7 linked regions of the Ovis aries genome follow. The protein of the gene in region 1 purifies or fractionates together with the protein of each later gene. This does not show direct contact. Links are inferred from orthologs where the notes say so. Each region holds a gene or a part of one and is shown in the gene's direction. Other genes may lie near its edges. The genes, in order: VAPA, ZFPL1, VPS13A, OSBPL9, ARHGEF12, VPS13C and RASSF3.

Evidence for each region.
Region 2: the proteins of VAPA (region 1) and ZFPL1 purify together in Homo sapiens (co-immunoprecipitation; 3 studies listed by BioGRID and IntAct, counting the BioPlex papers as one, with this or other methods). This does not show direct contact. The link is inferred for Ovis aries from reciprocal best matches to the Homo sapiens genes VAPA and ZFPL1.
Region 3: the proteins of VAPA (region 1) and VPS13A purify together in Homo sapiens (co-immunoprecipitation; 3 studies listed by BioGRID and IntAct, counting the BioPlex papers as one, with this or other methods). This does not show direct contact. The link is inferred for Ovis aries from reciprocal best matches to the Homo sapiens genes VAPA and VPS13A.
Region 4: the proteins of VAPA (region 1) and OSBPL9 purify together in Homo sapiens (co-immunoprecipitation; 5 studies listed by BioGRID and IntAct, counting the BioPlex papers as one, with this or other methods). This does not show direct contact. The link is inferred for Ovis aries from reciprocal best matches to the Homo sapiens genes VAPA and OSBPL9.
Region 5: the proteins of VAPA (region 1) and ARHGEF12 purify together in Homo sapiens (affinity purification with mass spectrometry; 5 studies listed by BioGRID and IntAct, counting the BioPlex papers as one, with this or other methods). This does not show direct contact. The link is inferred for Ovis aries from reciprocal best matches to the Homo sapiens genes VAPA and ARHGEF12.
Region 6: the proteins of VAPA (region 1) and VPS13C purify together in Homo sapiens (co-immunoprecipitation; 3 studies listed by BioGRID and IntAct, counting the BioPlex papers as one, with this or other methods). This does not show direct contact. The link is inferred for Ovis aries from reciprocal best matches to the Homo sapiens genes VAPA and VPS13C.
Region 7: the proteins of VAPA (region 1) and RASSF3 purify together in Homo sapiens (co-immunoprecipitation; 3 studies listed by BioGRID and IntAct, with this or other methods). This does not show direct contact. The link is inferred for Ovis aries from reciprocal best matches to the Homo sapiens genes VAPA and RASSF3.

Annotation. Positions count from the first base shown.
Region 1 is NC_056076.1:42,407,352-42,411,794, forward strand, and holds the start of VAPA (vesicle-associated membrane protein-associated protein A), read left to right. Parts: upstream 1-1,556; 5' UTR 1,557-1,807; coding exon 1,808-1,886; intron 1,887-4,443. UniProt on the Homo sapiens protein: Endoplasmic reticulum (ER)-anchored protein that mediates the formation of contact sites between the ER and endosomes via interaction with FFAT motif-containing proteins such as STARD3 or WDR44.
Region 2 is NC_056074.1:39,745,976-39,750,359, forward strand, and holds the start of ZFPL1 (zinc finger protein-like 1), read left to right. Parts: upstream 1-1,292; 5' UTR 1,293-1,345; exon of another isoform or gene 1,346-1,446; intron 1,447-1,509; exon of another isoform or gene 1,510-1,631; intron 1,632-1,763; 5' UTR 1,764-1,771; coding exon 1,772-1,873; intron 1,874-2,181; coding exon 2,182-2,293; intron 2,294-3,384; coding exon 3,385-3,578; intron 3,579-3,670; coding exon 3,671-3,743; intron 3,744-3,816; coding exon 3,817-3,963; intron 3,964-4,209; coding exon 4,210-4,333; intron 4,334-4,384. Other genes in the region: sororin, read right to left, coding at 442-621, 695-789, 1,018-1,063. UniProt on the Homo sapiens protein: Required for cis-Golgi integrity and efficient ER to Golgi transport. Involved in the maintenance of the integrity of the cis-Golgi, possibly via its interaction with GOLGA2/GM130.
Region 3 is NC_056055.1:59,659,363-59,663,904, reverse strand, and holds the start of VPS13A (intermembrane lipid transfer protein VPS13A), read left to right. Parts: upstream 1-1,736; 5' UTR 1,737-1,885; coding exon 1,886-1,985; intron 1,986-4,542. UniProt on the Homo sapiens protein: Mediates the transfer of lipids between membranes at organelle contact sites. Binds phospholipids. Required for the formation or stabilization of ER-mitochondria contact sites which enable transfer of lipids between the ER and mitochondria.
Region 4 is NC_056054.1:26,203,615-26,206,696, forward strand, and holds part of OSBPL9 (oxysterol-binding protein-related protein 9), read left to right. Parts: intron 1-93; coding exon 94-204; intron 205-448; coding exon 449-512; intron 513-631; coding exon 632-772; intron 773-2,196; coding exon 2,197-2,275; intron 2,276-2,787; coding exon 2,788-2,879; intron 2,880-3,082. UniProt on the Homo sapiens protein: Interacts with OSBPL11 to function as lipid transfer proteins.
Region 5 is NC_056068.1:30,761,387-30,765,214, forward strand, and holds part of ARHGEF12 (rho guanine nucleotide exchange factor 12), read left to right. Parts: intron 1-2,575; coding exon 2,576-2,618; intron 2,619-2,905; coding exon 2,906-3,011; intron 3,012-3,464; coding exon 3,465-3,602; intron 3,603-3,828. UniProt on the Homo sapiens protein: May play a role in the regulation of RhoA GTPase by guanine nucleotide-binding alpha-12 (GNA12) and alpha-13 (GNA13). Acts as guanine nucleotide exchange factor (GEF) for RhoA GTPase and may act as GTPase-activating protein (GAP) for GNA12 and GNA13.
Region 6 is NC_056060.1:46,363,086-46,366,913, forward strand, and holds part of VPS13C (intermembrane lipid transfer protein VPS13C), read left to right. Parts: intron 1-557; coding exon 558-947; intron 948-2,368; coding exon 2,369-2,473; intron 2,474-3,195; coding exon 3,196-3,360; intron 3,361-3,828. UniProt on the Homo sapiens protein: Mediates the transfer of lipids between membranes at organelle contact sites. Necessary for proper mitochondrial function and maintenance of mitochondrial transmembrane potential.
Region 7 is NC_056056.1:155,283,455-155,287,282, reverse strand, and holds part of RASSF3 (ras association domain-containing protein 3), read left to right. Parts: intron 1-1,120; coding exon 1,121-1,228; intron 1,229-3,106; coding exon 3,107-3,335; intron 3,336-3,828.

The DNA of each region.
Region 1 (4,443 bases):
AGGTAGATTTAGAAGATGCTTTTCAAATAATTGGCGCCGTGGTAAAGAATCTGCCTGCTAAGGCAGGTGACATGGTTTCCATCCCTGGGTCCAGAAGACCCTCCTGGAGAAGAAAATGGCAACCCACTCCAGTGTTCTTGCCTGGAGAATCCCCTGGACAGAGTGTCTTGGCGGGCTACAGTCCATGGGGTCGCAGGGAGTCGACAGGACTGAGGACGCACGCATTTCAAACAAATTAAGCTCTGGCAGCCTGTTGAAGGTATACTTGCTCTCCTTGGGCACAGCCTACAGCCTGGTGCGCATGCTAGGTTAGCTACTCCGGAGAGCTGTTCCTAAGTGAGTTCCGATGCCTGGACTGCAGTGAGGACGTGGACTCTGTGTCCACGGCTAGGCCACTGTCCCATTTGTCTGGTTTGTTTTCTAGACCAACTGGGCTCCTCCTCCACCGCGGCAGCATCATTTGAGCGTTGTTTGGCGGTGCTTCCCAGGGATTTGAATTCCAGCAGCACCATGACGGTTGATTTACAGCACACTCATTTGTTTCACGTTCCTGTCCCCGACTACCCTGGCGATCCGTTAAGGACTGGTCAGCAACTCTGCTGTTGGCATTTTTTCCTCCTTCAGCTCAGTTTACTACAGGCTATCTTAAATGCTGCAGATGGAATTCTCTGCCAACATGTGAACGTGACAACTGTTTTGCTTTGGGCTCATCGTTATCAATCAAAACTGAGGATGAGACAGAGCAACAAACACTGTAGATTCTGACTATTATTTCCAGTTTGATAACGCTTGCCTCATCAGGTCCCCAACGACGCGTCCTCGACAGAGGAGGTGTGTTTCTTCAAGGGCTTTTGCATCCCAGAAGAGAATTCGGGAAGCAGGAGCGCTTGGACTGGAGAACCACAGCTGTACCGACGGAGGGATGGATAGAATTAGGGAGGGAGCATACTAACAGATCCTGGCATGTTTTCCTCTGGGAAGCTTCTATACTTCTAACCGAGGAACCTCGGGGCAGTCTCCAAAAGTTGTTTTTCTTTTTTCAGGGCATATGAGACATCCTTTGGGAACCAAAATGAGTGTTGGCACGCGTCACCCCAGCCTCCAACCGACCCTTCTTCCCGCCCGCGCTCAGCCGCTACTACAATTCCCAGCAAGCACCACGCAGAGCCGCAGGAGGACCGGTCCGGCTGGAGACCCCGCCCCGCCCGTAGCATGCTGGGAGTTGTAGTCCACGATCCGGTTCGCTCCTACTTCTGCTATTTGCCATTCCCGCTTGGCAGATGGCGATGGGCTACCATAGCGGGTTTTCCAGTCTAGTCTCGTAACTGCAGCTAAACGTGACCGAGGATTGCGCCCTCCCGCTCTGCGGTGCGCGCCGCGTCAGTCCCAGGGAGCTGAGCTCCGCCCCGTCCACGCCCGCTCCCTTGACAGCTGGGCTAGGCTCAGAGCGCGGCGGGCCAGGGACGCGCAGGCGCAGCAGCCGGTCGCGCCTGGCGGCGTGGAGGGCGGGCCAGGCGCGAGAAATCGCGGCCGCCGGGGCGCGCACGTAGGCACGCAGAGGCGTCACGTGGGGCGCCGAAGATCGCAGTGCGCGTGGCCGCGGCGGCTGGTGTGGGGTTGAGTCAGTTGTGAGACCCGGGGCTGCGGACCGGCGAGCGGCCCAGCTAGTCGCCGACAGAGCGGCGGGTGTCGGGTTCGGGAGCCGAGCGCTGGCCCTGCGTCGAGCCGGGCCGACCCGCGCCGCCGCCGCCCCCCGCCCTCAGCCAGCGACCCGCCGCGGGCGCGCCCCCGCTCTGCGCTGTCTCCGATGGCGTCCGCCTCCGGGACCATGGCGAAGCACGAGCAGATCCTGGTCCTCGACCCGCCCACAGACCTCAAATTCAAAGGTGGGCCGGGGCGGCCTGCGGGAGCGGCGGGCTTGGGGTGGCGACCGCGCCCGGTGGGCCCCCTCCCCCGCCGCCCGCGCCCGACCCGGCCCCGCCCGCGCGGGCGCGCGCGCCCCTCCCGCCGCCATCTTGCGGCCCGCGGGCGCCTCGCTGCGGCGGCGGCCTCGTCCTTGGCCCGCGGGCCGGGGCGGGGTCCGGGCGTGGGCGGCTGGCCGGGGACTCGGGGCAGGCTGGGCGGTCGTCGGTCTGGCGCGGGCGCGGGCCGGGCTTTGCGTCAGTGGGCCGGAGGCGGCGGGCGACACCTGCGCGGGGCGTCACCTGCGCCGGGACCCGGGGGCCGCGGGAGCGACTCGGGCAGTTCTGCTGGGGATGCTGCGGGCGCGGGGAGCTTGCGGAGCCCGTGACTCGTCCTTGATTCCCGGGGCCCCACGAGCACAGGGGCTTGGGACTGTGAGGCCGCTCCAGTGCTTTAGAGAATCAAACCGAAAGAAGTGGAGTGCGAAAGAAAACACCTTGGTTTCCGTAGGACAGGTTTTAAATAGTTTTAGGAGCTTTAAGATGTTGTATTCTGCCGCTATGAGAGTAGTGTTGTATAAACCCTGTATTTTGCAAGGTCTTCAGTTCATTTGCGAGTTTCTTTGAATGGACATGTCAGTGAGCCGCGTGTTAGGTGAGAATTCGGCTTTTTAGACGACTCCACGAAATACTTAGAGAGGCTTCCTAAGTGCATTTTATTGTAGCAAGTTTATGGGCGTAACGTGAGTTTACAAAGTTTTCGCTGAAAGGGGGAAATAAAAGACTTAGGGGAATCATGAATACCAAAGTTCAGGTAATACCTAACTCTAGCTGTTACCTGAGAATGGAAGAATTTAATGTAAACCTTTATGGTAGGTAGGTCTTCTGAGAATTTAAGTGTTTTGTACTTATTTTGGGGGAGGCTGATTTTACAGAGGAAGTTTTCTCCTTGTTAATCCGTGTGTGTTGCCATTAGGGACTTGGACGCCGTTAAAACTAGTTTTAGGTCAAGAAGTATTTATAAGTCGGACAGTTTCTTCTTAGAGAAGTCAGTGTGAAGTCATACTTCAGTATGTTTCAATGACATGCTTCCTGGCTCAGTCGTCTCTGTCTCTGCTGATTCCATGGACTGTAGCCCGCCAGGCTCGTCTGTCCATGGGATTCTCCAGGCAGGAATACTGCCGTGGGTTGTCATTTCCTTCTCCAGGGGATCTTCCCCACCCCGGAATCGAATCTCCGTTTCTTAAGTCTCTTGAATTGCGGGTGAACTTTTTACCGGCGAAATCTTCCTTGGATTCTTTACCGTTTCAGTAGTAAGAGGCTAATAATAGCAAAGAGGCAAGTTAAAGGAACAACCAAAACCCCGACCCAGAGACTTGCCAGATGCTTATTTTAGGTATTGAAGAATTACTAGCTATGATTACAGAACGGATTCTTGTGTTATGGATGAAAGTAATTCACAAGGCCTATTAAAGTTTGGACATTAGTTGACTTTTTTAAAAAAGGATTTCATGGAAAAGTTTATAGGGACACATAGTCAGCTGGGCCATTTACTTAGCAAACACTATTGAAAGCTTTGTACCATCTCTATATTTGATGAAGAGTATTCAACAATGAATAATTTATTCAGCAAACATCAGCTTATATTTGGGGATTCAGTGCTAAGCAAGGTGGAGAAAAGACCCACAGTTAGTTTGTAGTTTAAGGAGTAAAACATGTTTTTTTCTTAGTGCTTGAACTCCCAGACGGAAGAGGCACTCAGATGCTGTAACAGAGGCAAAACAAGTATGAGGAAAGAAGCCCCTTCTTCCTTCCTCCCCACTTGTTTTCGGAGGAGTTGCTCAGTCGCAAAGTCCTGTATGGCTCTGTGACCCCCATGGGCTGTACTGTAGCGCATTGGGCTCCACCCTCCTGCACTGTCTCCCGGAATTTGCTCATTGTTGGGTGATGCTATTTAACCATCTCATCCTCTGCCACGCCCTTCTTTTTGCCTTGAGTTTTTCCCAACATCAGGATCTTTTCCAATGAGTTGGCTCTTCGCATCAGGTTGCCAAAGTATTGGAGCTTCAGCATCAACATCAGTCCTTCCAATGGCTATTCAGGGTTGATTTTCTTTAGGATTGACCAGTTTGATCTGCTTGAAGTCCAAGGGACTCTGAAGAGTCTTATCCGACATCTTTATTGGCTTGCTTTCAAATGGGGAAGTGGGAGGGCAGGTGATGGGAATGGTTTGCTCCTTTCCTGAGGTGAGAAAAGGTTGGCTTGTGCTTAGGCACCCACGGTGTGCTGTGTGCCTCTGTAAGAGTAGAGGATGGGAAGGATTGGGAAAGCAGAGGGTAGGATGAATTGGGAGGCTACATTTGGTGCCATTTGATTCCTTCCTTCCTTAAAAGTTATTCTTTTAGTCAGAGGTAAATAAGTTCTTGATGGAAACCTCTCTGTATTCCAAAGACCAGTTCAGCATTAAGTGAGGAGACTCATTTGGAATCAGCAATTCTCTTCATACTAATTTGATGATGGTGTGAAAAAAATCTTTAAACTC
Region 2 (4,384 bases), on another chromosome or scaffold:
GTTACTGAGTAAAAGAGGCTAGAAAGGAGAAAAAGTAGTAAGATCCAACTCAACTTTAAAAGGAAAATGGTAGAGAATACCAAGGCATTAAACGCACCAAGTGTGTAGGAAGTAAGCAAGCCTGGCAACATATGCAGGTGTCCAAAGGCAAACTGTTTCAAAATACAGCAAAAACAACTCCCTGGGCAGACATGAATGAGTGAGTGAAAGTCGCTCACTTGTGTCCAACTCTTTGCGACTCCAGGCCAGAATACTGGAGTGGGTAGCCTTTCCCTTCGCCAGGGGATCTTCCCAACCCAGGAATCGAACCCAGGTCTCCCGCATTGCAGGCAGATTCTTTACCAGCCGAGCCACAAGACATGAGCAGCCATTATATCCCACCCCAGCTGTAGAGTGTCTGTCCTGGACTCCCCTTAACTAAGAAAATGAAAATGAACTTACCCGGGGGCTTCTTCGAGGAGAGTTAATGGATGTGATCTGTGGGGACAACGAGTTGATCACACAGCCGACTCCCGATCCTGGCTCTCCACCTACAACCCCTCTCTCAGCCCTCACCTCTACAGTATGGGCCACGATCTTCTTCAAGACGATGGGCTTTCTGATTGGAGCCTCCTGAGGCGCCTGGAGAAGAGGAGTGAACATGAGGTCTATATTAGCCCAGAGGCTTCCAGGGCAGGAGGAACCTGAGGCTCACCTTAGGCAAGATTTCCGGGAGGGTGTTTGGGAGATCAGAGCCTGATTTCCGCTGGGACCTCCGCAGAGACCGAGTGGGAGTTGGGGCGCTGGGTCCTGCAATCAGAAAAATTTAGGAGGTAGGGGAGGGCTCTAGGCCTGAGTCTAGACAACAGGTTCTGAAGAAAGAGAGAGAAGGTTCCCAAACAGGCCCTTTGGGGGCGCCTTCCTGGCCAGGAGACGAGGGAGCCTTGGAGGGCGGCGGGCGGGGGAGGGGGGTTCCTCACCGAACTGCGTCCCTCAAACGGCTCAACCCCACCTCTCCCGCGCGCCCCCTCCGCTCACCGGGGCACTGGGCGGCCCCTCCGGACCGGGTTCGTCTCTCGGACATGTCTAGCTTTGGTCTCTATCCCCTCTGCTGCAGGTGCCGCCACCAGAGCGCGCGCCAACCCGAAGGGTAAACGTTCGAATTACCCGCCTTGCGCGGGAGGAAGCGGAAGTGACGTAAGGGGGAGGGCCGCGAGATCCGCTCACTCCTTTTTCCACCCTCCTCCATGTCTAGCGTCTACAGGGGCGGGGTCACTGGCACCCTGACGTCATCAGAGCGCGCCGCACCCGGAAGAGACGTGGCAGCCGAGGGATAATCGGAGCGTTGTGAGCTGGAGAGAGCTGGGCGAGAGCTTGGCTGAACGCGGTCTGACCTTCCGCTCTTCGGACCGGCCCTCGCGCCCGTGAGGACCGGTGCCGCAGCCGATTAGTAACACAGAGAGTGGGGTCTGTGGAGAAGGTGGGGGCGGGGCATGGAGGGGGTGGGGCTCAGGAGGGACCTCTGGGGGCGGGGCCGGTGGTATTGGAGAGACTGATGGAGGGGCCTGCCCAAGGATGGGATGAGGGACGAATGCGGGGGTCTCAGGAGGCGGGATTTATGCAGGGGCCGTGGCCCAGAATATAGAGAGACGGTGGGCAGGAGTTTGGGGTTGGAGCGGATACGTGCGGTGTCTAGGGAAGTTAAGAGTGGAAACAAACTGGGCTGGTAAATGTGTAGAGGTCAGCAGAATCTGGCTTCCTGCCAACTGTGACGCTTTCCTCAGGGTCGACTATGGGACTTTGCAAGTGCCCCAAGAGGAAGGTGACCAACCTATTCTGCTTCGAACACCGGGTCAACGTCTGCGAGCACTGCCTGGTAGCCAATCACGCCAAGGTGGGTGTTCATGTTAGAGACTGAGCAGGGCACTAGGTGGGCAGGTCGTCGACTTTCCTCCAAATTAATGAAAGGTCTGGCCCTAGAATGGGAGCTCCGCAAGGGCAGGGACTTAGTTTATTTTGTTCACTGTTGTATCCCCAGTGCTTAAGACAGAGTCTGGCACATATGTGCTCAATGAATGTTTATTGATTGGTCAAACGAAAGAATGAATCTCCTCTGTGATGACAGAAAAAGAGGCACCTGGGCCTTGGGGAGACGGGCTGTGGAGCCCTGGCTCCAGTTGTGACCCCCTTCTCCCACTTCAGTGCATCGTCCAGTCCTACCTGCAGTGGCTCCAAGATAGCGATTACAACCCCAATTGCCGCCTGTGTAACATACCCCTGGCTGCTCGGGAGACAACCCGCCTCATCTGTTATGGTGAGGCCTGGGCACCTTGGGGGTGGGGATCTGGACAAGACCAGTGTGACTGGTTTCCAGCGGCTCCCCAAGCAGCAGGACAGTGAGACCTTCAAGCTTGGGAGGCTGGAACTCAGATTCTGGTCCCACTAGGTAACTTACCTGCTGTGTGAGCTCAGGCAAGCCACTTTCCCTTCCTAGGCCTTAGTGTTTTTCCCTAAAAACTAAGCTCCTAGCTTCCTGCCTGCCAATCTCTCAGGTGTGGTTGTGGCTCTGAGCAGTAGCTGGCTGTACCTGTAGTGAGCTGAAAGCAGGGGGCTCTCAGACGTTCAGGATCTATTTCTAATTCCAACATTACACAGAGAGGAACTGAATTTCCCACAGTAACGTCAGTTAAAAGAAGTCAACAGAGGCATGTGTCATGATCTTGACCCGACTCTGCTGTAAGAGCCTTAGCTCCACTTTTTGAGCTTAACGTATGTGTTTCTCACTGTGAGTGTGTGTTTATATGTTCATGAGTTAAACGTGTGTTGTGTCTTTACCTGTTAGTGTATTCATTGCTACTGTGGGTGAGTGAATGGGTCAGTGTTGTATATGAATATATGAGCATGTTGTGAGGTTGCAGAATTCCTGGGTGTGAATGCTTGGGTATTGGCATACTTGAGTGTATGTGAGAGTAAGTGTGCCTATAAGTGTGGATATAGGGGATGGCACTTGTGTTTGACTACGTGTATATAAACGTGTACATTTGTGCCGATGGATGTGTACACGCATCCAGGTGCCTGTGTATATGTCTAGTAACCTTTTGAGCTCTTAGCCCAGTGAGTTTGTGATGAGTGCAGGTGCAGAGAGGACTCCCGGAGAGGGTAGGTGGCATATTCATCCCACTTCCCCCGACCCCCTAGGGGCTGGGCAGCCTGTTAGCATCTGCCCTATCTTAGACAGTGGTGGCCAGGAAGACCAAAGTCTTAAGGTACACTGATATAATCTACCTGGGAAGGAGGGGGCCCTGGGCTTACACACGTGTGCAGATATCTCTGCAGTGGGCTAGTGGACTAGGGGTCCTAAGTGTCTTCTTCATGTCTTTCCTCCACTACTTCGTGGCCTCTAAGATCTCTTCCACTGGGCCTGTCTCAATGAGCGTGCTGCCCAGCTCCCCCGAAACACAGCACCTGCTGGCTACCAGTGCCCCAGCTGCAGTGGCCCCATCTTCCCTCCAACCAACCTGGCTGGCCCCGTGGCCTCTGCGCTGAGAGAGAAGCTGGCCACGGTCAACTGGGCCCGGGCAGGACTGGGTCTTCCTCTGGTGAGAATCTTTCTGCCCTGGGTCCCACCTGGGCCAGAGGGGTGGGTCGGGACAGCACTGGGCAGACTGGTGACATTAGTTCTTTCCTCCAGATTGACGAGCTGGTGAGCCCAGAGCCTGAACCCCTCAACACATCCGAGTTCTCTGACTGGTCCAGCTTTAATGGTAAGTGGTACCCTCCACTGCTGATGGGGTCCTTGCCTTCCCACCCTGCTGACCGCTCTCTTCCTGCCCATAGCCAGCGGTAGCCCTGAACAGGAAGAGACAGCCAGTGCTTCTGCTGCCCCAACCTTCTACAGCCAAGCCCCCCGGCCCCCTGCCTCCCCGAGCCGGCCTGAACAGCACACGGTGATCCACATGGGCAATCCAGAGCCTCTGACTCATGGTGAGCTGGGGAATTGTCCAGGCGAGATGGGGATAGAATGGGGGGCGGGTATGTGGAGGGAGCTCGGCAGTCCACCCACCCACCCACCCACAGAACCCTTCCTGTTCCATCAGACGTCACCTCCCCACGATCCCAATATGCTCTGTCAGGCTGAAAAGTGCTAGGGTCTCCTGTCCTCCCCCCCTCCCCACCCCTCTCTGGGCCAGTTTCCTGAACCTATGGATGCTGGTGGCTCTGCCCCTGCAGCCTCAGCCCCGAGGAAGGTGTATGACACACGGGATGATGAGCGGGCACCAGGCCTCCACCGGGATTATGATGACGACAAGTACCGGCGCCGGCCAGCCCTGGGGTGGCTGGCCCAGCTGCTCAGGTACACAGAGTCAGGTGGGGCAGGATGCTAGGAACGAGGAGTTGGGGGAGT
Region 3 (4,542 bases), on another chromosome or scaffold:
ACATCTTAAATCCTTCAGTTCAGTTCAGTCGCTCAGTCGTGTCCCACTCTTTGCGACCCCATGAATCATAGCATGCCAGGCCTCCTTGTCCATCACCAACTCCCAGAGTTCACTCAGACTCATTGTCCATCGAGTCAGTGATGCCATCCAGCCATCTCATCCTCTGTCGTCCCCTTCTCCTCCTGCCCCCAATCCCTCCCAGCATCAGAGTCTTTTCCAATGAGTCAATTTGCATGAGGTGGCCAAAGTACTGGAGTTTCAGCTTTAGCATCATTCCTTCCAAAGAACACCCAGGGCTGATCTCCTTTAGAATGGATTGGTTGGATCTCCTTGTAGTCCAAGGGACTCTCAAGAGTCTTCTCCAACACCACAGTTCAAAAGCATCAATTCTTCGGCGCTCAGCCTTCTTCACTGTCCAAGTCTCACATCCATACATGACCACCTTTGCTGCTGCTGCTAAGTTGCTTCAGTCGTATCCGACTCTGTGCGACCCCATAGATAGCAGCCCACCAGGCTCCACCGTCCCTGGGATTCTCCAGGCAAGAATACTGGAATGGGCTGCCATTTTCCTTCTCCAATGCATGAAAGTAAAAAGCGAAAGTGAAGTCACTCAGTCCTTAGCGACCCCATGGACTGCAGCCTACCAGGCTCCTCCGTCCATGGGATTTGCCAGACAAGAGTACTGGAGTGGGTTGCCATTGCCTTCTCCGATGACCACCTTTATGATCTCTTAAATCCTTAGAGGGTTATTAATTATAGTTCTCCAGACTTCACATCCAGCGTGTTTGGCCTTCACAACCTCAGGTCTTTGGCCCTCTTTCTGTATAAAACCAAACACGGCTGTGGGAGTGGTTCTGAAAGAGCTCTAATTTTTATGTATTTATTCAAGGTCATTCTGTGAAGGCTCAGGGGCTGTGAGTCTTAGGTCTTCAGGTCTTCGTAGGAGGGCGCTCAGCAGTGTCAGTCAAAACTGGTTGACTCTAAGGGACGAAAGTCAGCTCCGTCTAAATAACCAGACCAAGAGAGTGCGATCTCAGATGAAGGGAAAGGACCATGGAATTACAACCCAGAATTTACTTTTCTTTCCTCTCTCGATTTGCAGCCACGGAAGTTAAGTCATCGACTGTGTAACCTCTCCAAGCGTTCGTAGGACTGAACGGGGCAGTTACAGGCATCCAGACACTCAGGCTGGACTGACCTGGGAAGCCAGCACTGCCCGGGTTCCGCCTGTACCTCCCCACTTGTAATAATAAGTGCGTAGCTCCCCGGGACTCCACTTGAGAGCCTCCAGCCTAACAAATGCGGAAGGCACTTTTAATCTGCAGCCGCTTTACCCAGATTTAGGACCTCCCTGCCCACGTGGGGGCGTGTCTCCTCAGTTAGGGGCGGGGCGTTCCAGGCACGGAGTAACCGCCGCGCCCCCTGGCGTCCCGTCCCCCGCCCCCGCCCCCGCCCCGCCCCCGCCCCCGCCCCCGCCCCCGGCACCAGTGGGGAGGCCAGGCTGCCGGTGGGGGCGGGGTCAGAAATGTCCAGTAACTCCAGGTACCTGTTCGGTTGCCTGGCGATGGGGGAAGAGGCGGGGCCGAGGAGAAAAAGGAGCCGCGCTCCGCCCGACTAGGGCAAACGCTGGAGAGGCGGCCGCGCAGCCGCCTTAGCTTTTTCTCGGGCCTCGCGCTCCGCCCAACTCTGGATCCCGAGCCGCACATGCGTAGCGCGAGCGACCGCCTCCGCCCCTCATAGGGCTCGTGGCGGGGCTACGCGTGCGGCGCTGGTGGCACCACGGTCGGAGCCGCCCAGGAGCCGGTGAACCGAGCAGTCTCGTGAGAGGGGCTCGAGAGGGCAGGCGCAGGAAGAAGAAGCGCCGCGTCCACCGCGGCTGAGGAAGATGGTGTTCGAGTCGGTGGTCGTGGACGTGTTGAACCGGTTCTTGGGGGACTATGTGGTGAACCTGGACACGTCCCAGCTCAGTCTGGGCATCTGGGCAGGTAACGAGACCGCCATCTCGCCTCCCGTGCTTCCGTTGACAGAGCCGGCCCTGCCTTCCTGGGGCCTCGGGCCCCACTCTGCCACCTGCCGCCGACTCGTTTGGGGTCCTGTTACGTAGAGCCGGGAGGCAGTTGCCGGGCCTCCACCGGCGAGTTAGTGTTTTGGCCGGCGGGGATTGGGGTCTCTGATGCCGGATGAAAAGGCCACCCCCCCCGCCCCCCGCCGCCTTTCGGCCCAAGGGGCCCACAGTGGACTCCAAGGGTCTGGAGTTCAAATTCCACCGAGCCGCCCTTTTCTGCCCTTCGCGGTCTGGTTTCAGCTGTGTTGGGCGAGGGGCGGCCTCGAGACACACCTGGGCTTGGTCTGGTCCCTGTCATTTTCGCCCCTTGGATTGTGATGGAGGCCCGGGCAGCCCACGGAGGGCCGCACGCCGCCCCGCACGTGAAAGCAAGGAGCTGTGACCGGAGATGCCGTCCTCCTTCCGCGCCCAGCCTCGGGGTACGGCCAAACCCTGCTGGCTGCTCCGCTCCCCCTTCCGGCCTCACCGCCTCGAGTCCGGGAGGCTCGCCTGGGTTCGGCTGATAACAGAGCGAAAACTCCTGTGCAGGATCGCTCGAAAGATTGATGGTGTGTTGTCAATTTACAACCTGAACCCAGCAGTGTATCAAGCCTGTTAAGGGTTTGGGGCTTTGTGGGTCACATTGAATTACTGAAATTTTAAAGAAGCTAGGTGCGCTGTCCTTACGCTAAGTGAGATGTGAAGTTGGATGGTGAAGGACTGATGCTTTACTTTGTATCCGTTCTGGTGTATTTCTTTATTTGGCGTTTCAATTTTAGTGCTGTGCTTCCGCCTGTTTTTGTATTACACGCTTATCTATTTTAAACACCCATTAGAAATTAGATTCTTTTTCTTGTGAAATGTCTTTCCCAGGCCAAAGCTAGGGTTAATCTCCTTGTGTGAGTAATATATAGATATATTTTAAAATTTTAGTCTTTTTGAATATGCACACACTTGACAGCTTTCTTCTAAAGTACTTATTTATCGTGATATTTCTCCTTTACTTAATAGTGTAAATAAGTAATTTAGTTTGATAAAGAAAACCTCTTGTTAACTACTGTTGATATCTAGTACCTTCCCTGGTGGCTCAGATGGTAAAGCATTTGTCTACAATACGGGAGACCTGGGTTCGATCCCTGGGTCAGAAAGATTACCTGGAGAAGGAAATGGCAAGCCACTCCAGTACTCTTGCCTAGAAAATCCCATGGATGGAGGAGCCTGGTGCAGGCTACTGTTCATGGGGTTGCAAAGAGTTGGACACGACTTCACTTTCACTTTCACTTTTACCTTGGTAGAGAGTGGGACTGCAGGAATGAAGAATATAAATGCTAGCTCAGCATCTCGGACTAGTACCAGAAATTTACAGATAGTTTAATCTGTGCTGCTTTTCATTTGTAAAATAGTAATGATAAAACTTGTCTCCACCCACCTCAGTAGGAAGCCTTGAGAACATTTTGTGATATGCTTTGCTTTTAACCTATAGTTGAAAATTGCTTCTACTTCAAGGTGGAGGTTGGTGTAGAGTTTGATTTATCAGTGGATATGTTAATTTGAAATACTCATACACTAAATTCACTCTTGTGATGCACAGTTCTATCAGTTTGACAAATACAAGGAAGCATGTATCCAGCATCACAACCTTGATACAGAAGAAACATCAGTTCAGTCGCTCAGTCGCGTCAGACTCTTTGTAACCCCGTGGACCACAGCTCACCAGGCCTCCCTGTCCCTCACCAACTCTCGGGGTTTACCCAAACTCATGTCCATTGAGTTGGTGATGCCATCCAACCATCTCATCCTCTGTCATCCCCTTCTGCTGCCCTCAATCTTTCCCAACATCAGGGTCTTTTCCAATGAGTCAGCTCTTCACATCAGGTGGCCAAAGTATTGGAGTTTCAGCTTCAGCATCAGTCCTTCCAATGAACACCCAGGACTGATCTCCTTTAGGATGGACTGGTTGGATCTCCTTGCAGTCCAGGGAACTCTCAAGAGTCTTCTCCAACACCACAGTTTAAAAGCATCAGTTCTTTGGCACTCAGTTTTATTCACAGTCCAGCTCTCACATCCATACATGACGACTGGAAAAACCATAACCTTGACTAGACAGACCTTTGTTGGCAAAGTAATGTCTCTGCTTTTGAATATGCTATCTAGGTTGGTCATAACTTTCCTTCCAAGGAGTAAGCATCTTTTAATTTCATGGCTGCAGTCACCATCTGCAGTGATTTTGGAGCCCAGAAAAATAAAGTCAGCCACTGTTTTCCACATCTCAGAATTCCCTCTGCTGCCCCTTTGTAGTCTCCCACCCAACTCCTACCCTTCCTCCTGGCAACCATTGGTTGTTTTCCATCCCTACAGTTTTGCCTTTTCTAGAGTGCCATATAAATGGAATTATGTGGTATGTATCTTTGTGGACCTGATTTCTTAGTTCATTCCTTTCACTTACTAAATGAAATAAATTTGAGAGGCATTCGTGTGTGGCATGCATCAAAATTGTG
Region 4 (3,082 bases), on another chromosome or scaffold:
AGTTGGGGGTGGGGGGCATGTATGTTTATGGTGTGTATGTTTATAAATAAAATGAGGCTATATAGTGCACTAAACAAAACAATTTCTCTTCAGTTTCAGCCTTTTATGCTGAGTGTTTTAATAAGAAGATACAATTCAATGCTCATATCTGGACCAAGTCAAAATTCCTTGGGATGTCAATTGGGGTGCACAACATAGGGCAGGGTAAGTCTGTGGGCTTTGGGTGGACTACAGTGTTGATGGGAGAACTCTTTGTCATTCTTATATGTGCTGGCCATCTGTCTAGTAAGAGGAAATGACCCCAGAAAGTCAGACTGGAAGTCATTGTGTACAGGGAAGCAAGTGTGTTGGGGGTGAGAGCCAGGTTGAGATGCAAGAGTGATTATCCCTAAACTGAATGGAGATTCCATCAGTTGCTTACCTGAGATTCCATCCCTTCTCTCCACAGGCTGTGTCTCGTGTCTAGAGCATGACGAACATTACATTCTCACATTCCCCAATGGTTATGGCAGGCAAGTAGAGCAGTTCCGTTCCTCTGATGCGTGAGCAGTAGGCCCTGCTATTCTTTAAGTTGTGCCCCTCCTTTCTTTCCTCTGAACTGTCAGCCTTACTGAAACTTTTGATTTTGCAGGTCTATCCTCACAGTGCCCTGGGTGGAACTAGGCGGAGAATGCAGTATTAATTGTTCCAAAACTGGCTATAGTGCAAATATCGTCTTCCACACTAAACCTTTCTATGGGGGCAAGAAGCACAGAATTACTGCTGAGATTTTGTAGGTATTTTGTTTTTCTGCTTCGATGCTCCTTCTGTATCTCTAAAATAGTTTTCCTTTTGTCGTGAACTATAACTTCCACCAAGAATGACCATTCTAATGGTCCTGTCTTTGTAAACTTATTTTACATGCTGTGTTTCATGTCTCTTCCTAAAATCCCATCTCAGAAGGAGACCTAAGAACAATCTGAGGTCACTGGTGGGATTTCCTTCCTAGGAACCTGACTTGCAAATAGGAACTTAAGGAGTCTTCCTGGATCTCGTAGCCAACCCAGATTATGTATGCTTAACTCATTATTGCTGGATTGGATCATGAGCTTGTCCATACAGTAGACCCTGTGACACCCACTATAGTGTCTCAAAGCCCTTATGGTCCTTGTTTTTTTGTGTGCCTTTGCTGGGGAAAAACAGTAACCATTGTATCTTTGTTTGGTTCTGTTTGACGCTCCAGGATTAGATGAAGACGTCTGTGTTGTCCAAGTCAGCAGTCAGTTGGGTTCAGAGCCTGCCTAGACAAGGAGACCCTGCAGGGATTTCTCTGTCCTCAGAGGCCTCACTGGGAGCAGTGTTGCAGATGGCAGACACAGGATTGGTTAACCCGTTTTTTAGGGAGATAATTTAATTTTGATGATGGAATCAACATCCAGAAAATTCTTGGAAGGAAGGAAGGAGGAAGGAACCATGAACAAAAGATGAAGTTTACTAAGGAACACTGTGAAATCCAAAATATTACTGCAGTCAGAAAATAGGGGCAGAGCTTAGGGAGCAGCACAAGTCACCACTATAATGTGGCTGCTCCCCTCAGACAGGGGAAAAGGATGTCCAGAACAAAGACATGGGTGGGCCTGCTTCCCAGAGTTCCTTAAAGCAGCCAGCACCAATAGGAACTGCTAGCAGATTTTTTGGCCAATCACAGTAATTTATAATAGACTGCCTTCTGAAAGAGTGCTTGGTGGGCTTCTCAGATAACATCTTAATATTATGGCCCAGCCTGAAGATGAAAGTCTTGTCTCCATCATTGTATCCTTAAGCAAAGCCCTCCTTGACCCTCATCGTAGCAGTGTTGCCCTTGATCTCGCGTGGTTGCCTGGACATAACAGCACTTTCCACCCAGAATTTCAGTGGCAGTGTCTCCCCACTAGACTGTGAAGACCTTGAGTTTGTAGTCTGCCGTGGTCCCAGCACCTAACATATCTCCTCATACCCACAGTTTCTGGGATCTTGAATCCATTAGCAGCATCTTTATGGCATTAATTCTTGTAGTTGGCTCTGAGAAAACCAGTTTGATTAATCTACCTTTACAGTTGCTCTTCTGTGTTTGCTCTGGGTAGGTAGGCCACAACTGACAAGATTCTTTGGTAGAGAAATTTCAATTTGAGACTGACACAAATGTGTTTTAATGTTTGTTTTTTGTTTTTAATGTAGTTCTCCAAATGACAAGAAGTCTTTCTGCTCAATTGAAGGGGAATGGAATGGTGTAATGTATGCAAAATACTCAACAGGGGTAAGAACATCATGTGTTTTGCCACTTGTTTCAGGCTTCATTGAATCGTAGCCTGTCCCTTACTCTGGCTTCCTTCATCTGGAAATTTTAACCACCAAGATGAGCTCTAATGCCATCTCTTCAAGCCAAGCCTTTTCCTTCTTCCACCTTTCCCCAGCAGTACAGGTAGTAGAATGATTTTTACTTTCCTCTCCCCTTAAAATACTCAATAATATATGGGGAAAAGTGCTCAGAGTACTTAACATTAGGATTAGTTGTTTAGCTAGTCCAAGAGATTACATCCCAATCATATTACATCCCAACACAGAGCCACATTGAAAATATCTATTTTTACCAAGAGCCTTTACCAAGACTTAAAACAATTTAGGCTTTAGATTGCATATGGAACTCATTGTCTATATCACTAACATATTGTGGGATTTCAGTATTAAATCTGTTAATGGGAAGAGTTGACTTTTTCTCTTAGAATAGTGTGAACAATAAAACATCTACCTATCTTTTCTGTTTTCTAGGAAAATGTAGTTTTTATAGATACCAAGAAATTGCCTATAATTAAGAAGAAAGTAAGGAAGCTGGAAGATCAGAATGAGTACGAATCCCGCTGGTAAGGAGACAACGAACTATATAGAGTCGTGGCAGCAGTGCTCTTGCTATTGGCCAGGCGTAGGCGCAAGGCCGGGTTGTGGACTGCACAGCAGGGTGTGACGGAGCTCAGGTGGTCTGAATGCCTGGGTTCATACAGTGCTCCACCTCCTGCACTGTAACCCTGACTGTAAGCTAGCCTGTCTTTGCATTCTTTCCTGAAAC
Region 5 (3,828 bases), on another chromosome or scaffold:
GGCGTAGACTTGGATTACCGTGATATTGAATGGTTTGCCTTGGAAACGAACAGAGATCATTCTGTTGTTTTTGAGATTGCATCCAGGTACTGCATTTCGGACTCTTTTGTTGACTATGATGGCTACTCCATTTCTTCTAAGGGATTCCTGCCCACAGTAGTAGATATAATGGTCATCTGAGTTAAATTCACCCACTCCAGTCCGTTTTAGTTCGCTGATTCCTAGAATGTTGATGTTCACTCTTGCCATCTCCTGTTTGACCGCTTCCAATTTGCCTTGATTCATGGACCTGACATTCCAGGTTCCTGTTGCTCTTTACAGCATCGGACCTTGCTTCTATCACCAGTCACATCCACAGCGGGGTATTGTTTTTTCTTTGGCTCCATCCCTTCATTCTTTCTGGAGTTATTTCTCCACTGATCTCCAGTAGCATATTGGGCACCTACCGACCTGGGGAGTTCCCTTTTCAGTACCTTCTCAGTGAGACCTTCCCTGACCAGTTTACTTAAACTTTCATCCCCCTTGCTTTCTGTCACCTTTCCTGTGTTATTTTTGTCCACAGAATTTATTTATTTTTTTAATTTTATCCATCTGTATTCCTGCTCTTCTGCCCTGAATGTAAGCTCCATTAGGGCAGATGTCTTTTGTTCTGTTTGTTCACTGCTGTTTCCCCAAAACTGAATAGATCCTGACAGAGTGGTCACTGAGATAGTTGCTGAGTGGATTAGTTAGGGTTCTGATTATAATGCCATTGTTTAAAATATTACACATTATATTTATTAAGATGATTTTCTTCAATGAAGAAATGACAGTATACTGAAGTTTATGTAAACTTGACATTTCTTAAGAGCATTCCATGCTAAGGCACAGAATGTGCCTTTAGATCAGGTGATTTCTTATATTTTGCTGCTCGTGGTCTATATAAGCTTATTAACATCAAAGTGTAAGAACCCTGCTAGATTAATTTCCTAATTATTCTTTTATGCTGCCAAGGGGAGATGATCAGTCTCCAATCCTCAGCTCAGGCTGAGGGCCCTTTGACCAGATTCCTGCGTCCAGGACCGGGGGACTAGAAAAACAGGGAAGGATAGGAAGCGTTAAGGAGAGGAAAGGGAGAGGGAAGGGGAGAGAGGTCAATAAAGTCTCTTGTTCCTTACCAGTTGGGGCACTGTGGCCAGTTGTCCTCGTCAGGAGGAGACCAGGGACAAAAGGGTCCCAGTTGTGGCCGCTGGGTCTGGTCCACTGGCAGGCAAGCTGGCCCCTGAGTACCCCGAGTGGTCAGGATGTCAGTCTCAGCCAAGAAGAGTCCCATCTGGGTCGCCATTTGTTGCAGGAAGGAGGACCTCTTCCAGGGCCCGAAACTGGGCTCTTGTCTAACACTTGGAAATGAATTGTCTGAGGAGACACGTGTGCTGACAAAGCAAGAGATTTTATTGGGAAAGGGTACCCGGGTGGAGAGCAGTAGGATAAGGGAACCCAGGAGAACAGCTCTGCCACGTGGCTCTTTTATGCCACAGGTGATATTATTTCATATAAATACCCACATACAGAAATGAACATATATATACTTTCTTATATTTGTGCTAGAAGTATTTCTGGAAAGTTGGCTTGAGCTACTTTATGGCAACCTCAGATAAAGAGAAAGCTTTGAAATCCATTTTAACTGCTCTTCAAATAAATTTTAGAGCTCTCAATTTTTAGCAGTAACTTATTTTCAGATGTAAAACTTCAGATCTTACATTAATTTTTTTTTAAATTCCGGAAGGATATGACTTAAGTGGGTGTATAATACAGAGTAAATTTGAAGAAGATAATATACTTTCTCCAAATGCAAAATAATTTTTTCTGAGACATTTCCCAAATTAACAGGAGAAAATTATCTGGTAATGGGCTCACAGACTGCAGTTGTCATGTGAAAAAACATAGCTAAGAAGAAGTTAATTATGACATGGTCATCTTATTTCAGTAGTAAAAACTGCAGATGTAAGAACTAGAGATTTGAGACTCCAGAGCTTCAACGTTGATATCCAGCACTTTCTCGTTGGGAACATGACTTCTGATGAGGGTTCTTTAGCTATATATACCAATATGATTGGGAATATCATGGTCTTCAGTGTGAGTGTCTAAAATACAGTGAATAAAATTGTTATACATGAGTAAAGTTTTCATATGGTGATCTACATATAGTTTAGGTTTTTACCTATATTGATTCAAACAGTGTGTGACCGATTATCTTAACCAGTGATTCTCGAAAGCCCAAAGCAATATTCATTCATTCTAGAAAGCCAAAGCCAACAGGAATAAATAAGGCACAAAAGCATTCAGTCATCTAGTAAAACAGATTTTAGGTATTTCCTTTATAACATGATCCTTGGGGAGTGGGCTTCTTTTCAAGTTCAAACCATAGAATATTCCAAAGCTGGGAAATTTAGATGGGCGGTACTCCCAAAATGAGCTTATACATGAATATACTTATAGGTATTCAAGTTCTTTCTCTTTATTTTGTGTAAGTACTGATATGGATCCTGAAAGACCCTTAGTGCAATTTCACTTTTTGTTTGCATTTTTGTTTTAGCACCTGAAGGTTTCTGTTCCTGATGAAATATCAGTAGATCTAGGTAAGTCTGGAGCACCAATGTGCTAGAGGATTACATCTCTGTAGATAGGTAGCTCAGCTCTTCTCTAGAGGTTTTATCTGTTACACAGTAACTAGTAGGTCATATGAATCACAACAGTAAAAGAGCCTATAATACATTTAAGAGTAAATGAAATGTGAGTTCTAAGATTAAAATACTTAAAATATATTATCTCTTTATCTTACTTCAAGTTAAGTTCACACCAAGTAGTGCCAGTTACAATGCACAAAATGTGCCTTTAGATCAGGTGATTTCTTGTATTTATGCAGAAAAAAGACGACCAGAGCTTATTCCTGAGGATCTACATCGCCACTATATCCAAACTATGCAAGAAAGAGTCCACCCAGAAGTTCAGAGGCACTTGGAAGATTTTCGGTAAGCCTTGTGGTCGACAGAAGCTGATATGGTTGTCCTGAATTAATTTTCTTTTTAGGTAGGAACAGGTTATACATTCCTTGGCATAACATATGGTCTCTGTCATTGTTACTAAAACCTAATGAACTTCCGGCGTCGAAAGGTTGGCATGGTACTGAGAGTGCATGGTCCCCTTTCCTTATGGCTGGCAGGAATTGAGCGTAGTAGCTGTCTGTGCCAAGTGTGTCCTTCAAGATATGTGTTCTGTTGAGTGACTTCCTCTAGAATTTTCTTCCTCCAGTGTCCCAGGTGACGTGGGCCCCCACACAGAAAACCGTGACATTTTACCTGTTGCTAGAAATTCATAACTATGGAAACTCTGGTGAAGCATCTCCAGAGGGAGATAGTACCCTCTAGGTAACTCAGGAAATTACCCTCTAGGCTACCTCAGGAAATTTCTCCTATTCCCTTTAGGCAGAAGCGCAGCATGGGGCTGACCTTGGCTGAAAGCGAACTGACTAAACTTGATGTCGAGCGAGACAAGGACCGGTTAACTTTGGAGAAAGAACGGGCATGTGCAGAACAGATTGTCGCCAAAATTGAAGAAGTGTTGTAAGTAATAGAAATACATGTAGAAACGCCCTCTCTACTGAGGTGATAATTATGTGTGAAGTACATTTGAGCAAATTTAGAAGGTGTGTCGGGTTGTTTATGTAGAGCAGTTTGCCTTGTGATAGTACTAAACTTTATGCTGATATCGTAGATGACATTCTTGTATTTCTTTTTCTGGGTATTGCTAAGATGAGTAACTGTAGAATTTCTAACTGATCAAAAACAG
Region 6 (3,828 bases), on another chromosome or scaffold:
GACCCAGGTGTGATCCCTGGGTCAGGAAGATCCCTTGGAGAAGGAAGTGGCAACCTGCTCCAGTATTCTTGCCTGAAAATATATTGCCATTACTCATTTATAAAGTAGTTGCACCTTAGATAGCTTGTCAGAATAGTTTGACATCACTTTCCTTCTTTTATTTGTATGAGAACCATTAAGTGTAGAATGTGAATAAAGGATGAAGCTGAAGCACAGGCTGTTATGTGGCTCGTGTAATGACATATCTCTTAATGGAAATAGCCAGTGTTCTTGCATCCAGCCTTAGATTCTTGACATGGGTCTGACTTTTTCTCAAAACTAACAGCCATTGGCTTGCTGATGGCTGAATGACAACTTCTGCCTTTGGCTATGATACAGTGTTTTCTTTTTAGTCCTTAGTAATTGTTGGATATTCATAATACGTAAAGATGGTACCTTGAAGACTTCTCAGTTAATGTGAATCTGGTAGGTAATTTAGTATTTGTATAAGATAGGGAAGTTATTGCAGAGATTTTTTTTAAAATTGGTAAGCAAATTTAGTTTTTGTTTGTTTTTAGGGAACAGCAGAAACTCATGAGCTGACCGAAGGCAGTGCAGCCAATGTTCTACATTCACGAATCAGTGGAGAAATAATGGAATTAGTTCTGGTGAAATATCAGGGCAAAAACTGGAATGGACATTTCCGTATATGCAGTACACTTCCCGAATTCTTCCTTGTGTGTTTTTCTTCTGACTCCGCAGAAACGTTGACAGTTGACCTGTCAATACATGTCAAGCGAATTGGCAGCCAGATGGAGCTCTCCATTTTCAGTCCCTACTGGCTAATCAACAAGACTTCTCGGGTTCTCCAGTATCGTGCAGAAGATACGCATGTGAAACATCCAGCTGATTTTAGGGATATTGTTTTATTCTCTTTCAAGAAGAAGAACATTTTTAGTAAAAATAAGGTGTGTTTTTGTTGATAAAAACAAATTATTCAGTGTCATTGGTATGTATTAGATCCAAGACTACTTTTAAGGACTACATGATTAAGTGGGCTATTAGGAACTAACAACAATAGTGTCCCAAGGCTGGGGTATCTTTTTCTCCAGTGCCCCTAGAATTACTTCTGTTCTTGACATAGTGTCAAGTGGAAAGCTTGACTTTATGTAGGTTACCAGTGATGCAATGGGGTTTCAAAAGAGAGAGCCGTTGAATTTGGTTTATTTTAACTGAGCCTCATATGTATGAAGGATTAAGGCGGGCCTTCGAGAGAAAAACAAAGCCTAAGGCCTGATCTGATCCTTTTTGCTCTGGTTGTTTCTTTCCTTTGCAAACTCACATCTTTATATTGCTCACCTCTGGGCTTTTGTGTAGCTGCACCTGCTTAGAATGTCTTTTGCCCTACGCTTTCCCTGTCTGCTTCTTGTTTTCCCGTTATCACTGTTCATGCTTTGACATTCTGCTCCAGCCTGACATGTGTGAAAGATTTTCTGATCCTCTAAAGCAGAGCTAGATATCCCATGCATGTTCTGTTAGAGCAGTGCTTTTCAATCTCAATCTCAATGTGCAACAGAGTCACCTAGAGGGCTTTGAAAACAGACTGCTGAGCCAGGCCCCCATAGTGCAGTTCAGTAGTCTTGAGTAGGGCCTGGAACCATACTTTGAGAACCTCTGTCATAAAGTGTTGATTAATGCTTGATATTGTACCTGTTTATGTGTCTGACCTGTGGTTATACTCAGGTTTTTATCATCTGCTGGGTAGATGGAGGTTAATAGAGGAGCAGAATTAGATTTCTTCTGTATAACTTTACCTTTTCCCATAGCCATAAGTAAGCTTTTTATCCTGTCAGTTTGATAGGATTTTATCCCTCTTATGTGGCTGTTATCACATTAAGTCTTGCCTTATAATTATTAGTGTGTATTTTCTGTCTCTGTTTAGTTGGAAGCTTACTGAGGACAGGTATTGTGTCTTCCGTTCTCCTTATCACAACACTTTTCGTTGTTTGCTGAATAATAAAAGCATAAATTCCCTGTGTGTGCTAAAGTTTTAAGAATTCATTAGCTCTATATCAAAAACCTGACACTGCAAAATATCGCTTTACTTTTTAATTCCTTCCTAAGTAACAGAAGTTCTCATTGGTATACAGCTTTAAATTCATTATACTCATCGCAGAGGTGAATGCAAAGGAAGTTTAGAGCTCTGCTTTTATTGTATTGTCCCCTAGAGTTCCTGTGCTTCTTTACCCACTTGCAGCATGCCTTTGATAATACTTTTCTGTGTCTCATGTTATTAAATAAATGTCTAGTGGTCTAGCACCTATCCATCAAATAAAATTAATACAGTGTTTTAGATTTCTTATATGATTGTCTGTGTTCTCTGGTGTAGGTACAATTAAAAATTTCAACTAGTTCGTGGTCCAGTGGTTTTTCATTGGATACAGTGGGAAGTTATGGATGTGTGAAGTGTCCTGCCAACAACATGGAGTACCTGGTAAGGTTTTTGCTGGCTTATTTACCTCTGATTTCATTCACGTTTTCTTCACTAAATAAGCTGGAAATCCTCAGGGGTATAGAAATGTGAATTCAGAGTATTACATGGAGGATGTCTACTATTACGTTATGTCTGTCTATTTATTTCTAGTACAGTTAGTATCAAAGCAAAGCCTAAATTTGTCAGAGTTTAAGACAGTGATTTGAATACATTTAAGGAAGGAATTTAGTAAATACACAGAATTACTAGAATCCACATTCCATACCACTCCCTGCCAAAACGTCATAAATCTTAAATTTCACTGCAACAATTTAAATAATCTGATACTAGTTGTTTTATTACCTCATTGAAATTTTTATTTCATTTTATTGATAGCAGAGAGAATAAAGCAGCAAAGGAAAGGGTACACTGATTTTAAAACAATTTATTTTGGACTGTGAAAAAGTAAAGGATTTTTAAATATTAAGTTTGTTATTATAAGTCATCATTAGTTAAATTACTGATAGATATTTCTTGAATTGGTTTCTGCTGGTCCCAGACTAAGGATCTGAAATTTTTCTTCTTAGTGAGAAGATAGTCATGGAATATGGTTCTTTTTAGTTACTCTATTTAAGAAATCCTATTTTAAAATACTTGAAGAAGACTGTGAGTGAATAGCTGTGTGTGTTTCAAGCTGTGTAAAGTACTGGGAAATGATAAACTTGTTTGTTTCCTTTCCACAGGTTGGTGTCAGCATCAAAATGAGCAGTTTTAATCTTACACGAATAGTTACTTTGACTCCCTTTTATACCATTGAGAACAAGTCATCATTAGAACTAGAAGTTGGTGAAATTGCATCTGATGGCTCACTGCCAACTAATAAATGGAACTATATTGCTTCTTCAGAGGTAATAATTTTCCTTTAATATAACTGGCTCCTAAAATGTACAATTCTGCGGTAGTTTGAGCATTCTTTGGTGTTGGCTTTCTTTGGGATTGGAATGAAAACTGACCTTTTCCTGTCCTGTGGCCACTGCTGAGTTTCCCGTTTGCTGGCATATTGAGTGCAGCACTTTCACAGCATCATCTTTCAGGATTTGAAAGAGCTCAACTGGAATTCCATCACCTCCGCTAGCTTTGTTCGTAGTGACGCTTTCTAAGGCCCACTTGACTTCACATTCCAGGATGTCTGGCTCTAGATGAGTGATCACATCATCATGATTATCTGGGTCGTGAAGATCTTTTTTGTACAGTTCTTCCGTGTATTCTTGCCACCTCTTCTTAATATCTTCTGCTTCTGTTAGGTCCATACCATTTCTGTCCTTTATTGAGCCCATCTTTGCATGAAATGTTCCCTTGGTATCTCTAATTTTCTT
Region 7 (3,828 bases), on another chromosome or scaffold:
GGCGCAAATGCCTACTCGGATAGCCTGCAGCTGCGAGGATGGGGTGATGTATCTGGCTGGAAAAGAGGTACTTTTTAAAGTTTTTATTTAGGGGGTTATTAAATCATCAGATCTTCTATCTTGAAGGTTATTAGGACCCTTCTCTTTTCTGAATTTATTTCCCAGGCTTGAATCTGATTATACACCCTTTCTTTAAGTTTGCAAACTCCCACACAGGAATGGTGGGGGCCTGTTCAGTTTAGTGGAAACAGCATGAGGACCTGGATTAGAATCGAGCTTGGTCTCTTAACCAGTTGGGTTGTCCCTGGCAAGCCACTTGACCTCTGTTAGCCTCAGTGTTTTTGTAACATGGGGATGCTGACGAAGATTAAATGAGGACCCCGGGTGGAAGTACTTGGAGTTACTGAGGGTGGGTAGGCTTTGGGATCAGGTTTTCAGGTAAGTGCCAACACTTCTACAGAGCAGTTTTTATTGGTAGATTAGTTTATGTCTTAGAACTTGATCTCGTCTAGAAACAGAAGTTAAAATGCCTGCTTGGTTAGGTTGTTGGGAGAAGCAAATGCCGTTTAAGTCAGGTGCCTGGCATGCCTGGTTTCAGGGGCCCCAGTACTCTGGAGTGTGGCCATCGGTGATTGACATCAGCTGTCACATGACATCATACACTGGTTGAGCTCTGTAGACAAAACAGTTAGTGAAATTTTCACAGTCAAGAGAGGACTTCACTAAAATCCTCCCCTCCAGAGTGTGGGGGGAGAGACTGGAGGGGTGGGGGTTGAGAGTGGGTGGGTCCAGGAAGTCTGGCTACTTGTGTCTTCCTATGGAAGATTAAATTACCTTCTGGCAGTTGTGTTTGACAGGTCAGTGATTAGTGCCAGTTTAACACTTACTAACTACCATACCTTTTGCTGATAAAGACTGTAAAGCTATAAAAATTGTAAAGTTCATAGGATGTGTGTTTGTGTGCGTGTGTGTGTGCACGCGCGTGTGTGTGCGTGTGTGTGTGTGTGTGTGAGAAGGTAAAGTGCTCATAGTTATCGTTATGTGGCATGTGAAAAGAATCCTGGCTTCTGCATTTTTTCCTGTGATTGCTCATGGATGGTTTGGCTTATTTTTCTTCTAGGATGTGGAGAAAGAGAAGGAAACCCACAATTACCTCAGCAAAGAGGAAATCAAAGAGAAAGTTCATAAATACAACTTAGCAGTCACAGACAAGTTGAAGATGACCTTGGTGAGCACCCGTGCTAATAATACTGTTTAGCTTGAAAGTGTCAAAGGACAATTATAAGTTGTTGGTACCACAGTCTGTATGTTTTAAAATGTCTGAATCACGCTTGCAGAAATTTAAAGATTAAGGTATATAGGACTGGAAAACCAGATATTTCTGCATCTTTCAAATGAAAGCTGTATTTTGAAATTGCTTTATTTCAAAAATCAGTCAACACATCCTAAAATTTTATTTTGAAAGATGTTATGACCTCCAGAGGGTTCTTAGCATTGAGTGTATTAATAATACTCAGCTTCCTACACTGTTGTTTCAACTTTGTGTTTTCTGCAACTTTGTGCCGGAGCTGTTTGAAGCTCAGTGGGGAGCGAGGGTGTAGGAGAGAGAAGACCAGGCTTGGTGACACAGGAAGGGAAGACCATTGCAGAGCCCGCTGCGGGTTCCTCTGGCTGGTCTGGCCTTGCCCTGCTACTTGATGGCCTTCCTCGAGGGACCTGCCATGCCTCGGTGCCAGTGTCCAGGGCCCTGAAGCCCTGCCTGGCCGTCTAGCGACCCTGAACTGATAGAGCTCTGCAAAGGATAGGGCGACCTGGTTAGAACAGGTCCGACTGAATTCTGTGATCCTTGGGGAGGAGCTTTTAAAAAAACACTTGTGAGAAAGGATTCCTGTCTGGTGGGATTCCGCCCAAAAAGGGAGACAGCAGATAATTTCAAGATTATTCCTCTTTATTCCACCAGTCTTACTTTTTCAAACATGGTTTTTATCAAAGCAGAACATTCTCTCCTCCTTGGAGATTAAAACAGATCAAATTTCCATGTCATTTCAAAGATTAAAAAGAAAAAGTGAAATGTTGTATAATACTTTCCACAAATGAGTGAATTAGTATTATAAATTGATCTTGTGGAAAGGAAGAAAAACAATGGCCCATAAAGGAGATTTTTCATGTTCTGTGTTAACTGTCATTTATATATAACTTAACCTGAAGGCTCATTTAAATAAACCATTACAATATTCATTTTTTTCTGAATATACTAGAAGTTAAAAGTGAAGACCAGACCATTATAACTATTTCTAGCAACTAAAATATTCTACCGCCAGTTAAGACACCACCTGTTAGTCTACCACCTGTGGTCCAGTGGTTAGGACTCCACGTTTCTACTGCAGGAGGCCCTGGTTAGGATATTAGGATCCTGGATGCTGGGTGGCCTGGCCAAACAAAAAAACAAAAGGAAACACAAGTGTTTGTATCATAATGTCTGTGGTTTACATTGTAACTTGAATTTGTTGTAAAAATATTGCTGCTTGAGGTGTCTGAAGTGCCTCATTGTGTATCCCATGCTTAGTGGGGAATCCTACGCTATATAAAATAGTTTATGCAAAGTTGGTAATAGCGGGTACATAGGAGCCACTAGGAATGAAAATAGCTTGTTTTCTTCCCGTCTGCTTCTTGTTATTTGAGTATTTCAGAGTCCTAATTGTGACTTTCCTTTTTTGTGTAATAGCTGGTCATCAGTTGGAGATGTTGTTTCCTTTGCGCAGTTAGCCTGCACATGGCCCCAAGCTTTAACAAGCCCTGTGGTTTGGCCAGCATCTGTGCCAGGGGATGGGAGGCTCACCCGTGGGCCCTGACCTTTCACATGCAGCTTCACAGGCTTTGGTCCCCACATCTGCCCTGCAGACCTTGCCTGAGAAGCACTTCGCTGGAGTGTGTTAACCTTTCCGAGGTCATCTCCTGAGGGGCCGCCTTGAGTGAGCCTCTGCCGCAAAGCCATAAAAGAAGAGAACAAGAGAGGGAGTGTTTCACCTTCCTTTTCTGTTGTTGTCTTGATACGCTCCTTCCCTAAAATGCCCAGCTCATGTGTGTGTTCTTCTTCCTGCCTCAGAATTCAAATGGGATTTACACTGGCTTCATTAAAGTACAGATGGAACTATGCAAACCTTCCCAGGCTGCTGGAAAACCCGCTCCCAGTAGCAATGGCTGTATGAACACCCTTCACATCAGCAGCACAAACACGGTTGGCGAAGTGATTGAGGCCCTGCTTAAGAAGTTTCTTGTGACCGAGAGCCCTACCAAGTTTGCACTTTATAAGCGGTGTCACAGGGAAGATCAAGGTACCATGCTTGAAATGAAAATGATCCCTGCTTTTGTTTCTGTCTTTTGACTTCATTCATGGAAGACTGGTGGATGTACCTGTATCAGTTATGTCAGAGCCCAGGGACATATTCTGAAATAAATGGTGAATGCGTCCTGGCTGTCTGTGTTTTTCAGGTGGACAGCTCTCGGTCTGCGAGCCCCGAGGTATTTGTATGTGAATTATGTGATGGGTATTTATGGAGGATTTATGGGATAGCCTCCCTCTTCCTGGGCTTTCCCGGTAGCTCAGATGGTAAAGCATCTGCCTACAATGTGGGAGACCCGGGTTTGATCCCTGGGTTGGAAAGATCCCCTGGAGAAGGAAACGGCAACCCACTCCAGTATTCTTGCCTGGAAAATCCCATGGACTGAGGAGTCTGGTAGGCTACAGTCCATGGGGTCGTAAAGAGTTGGACACGACTAAGCAACTTCACTTTCACTTTCACTTTCTCCCTCCTCCTTGCCCCTACC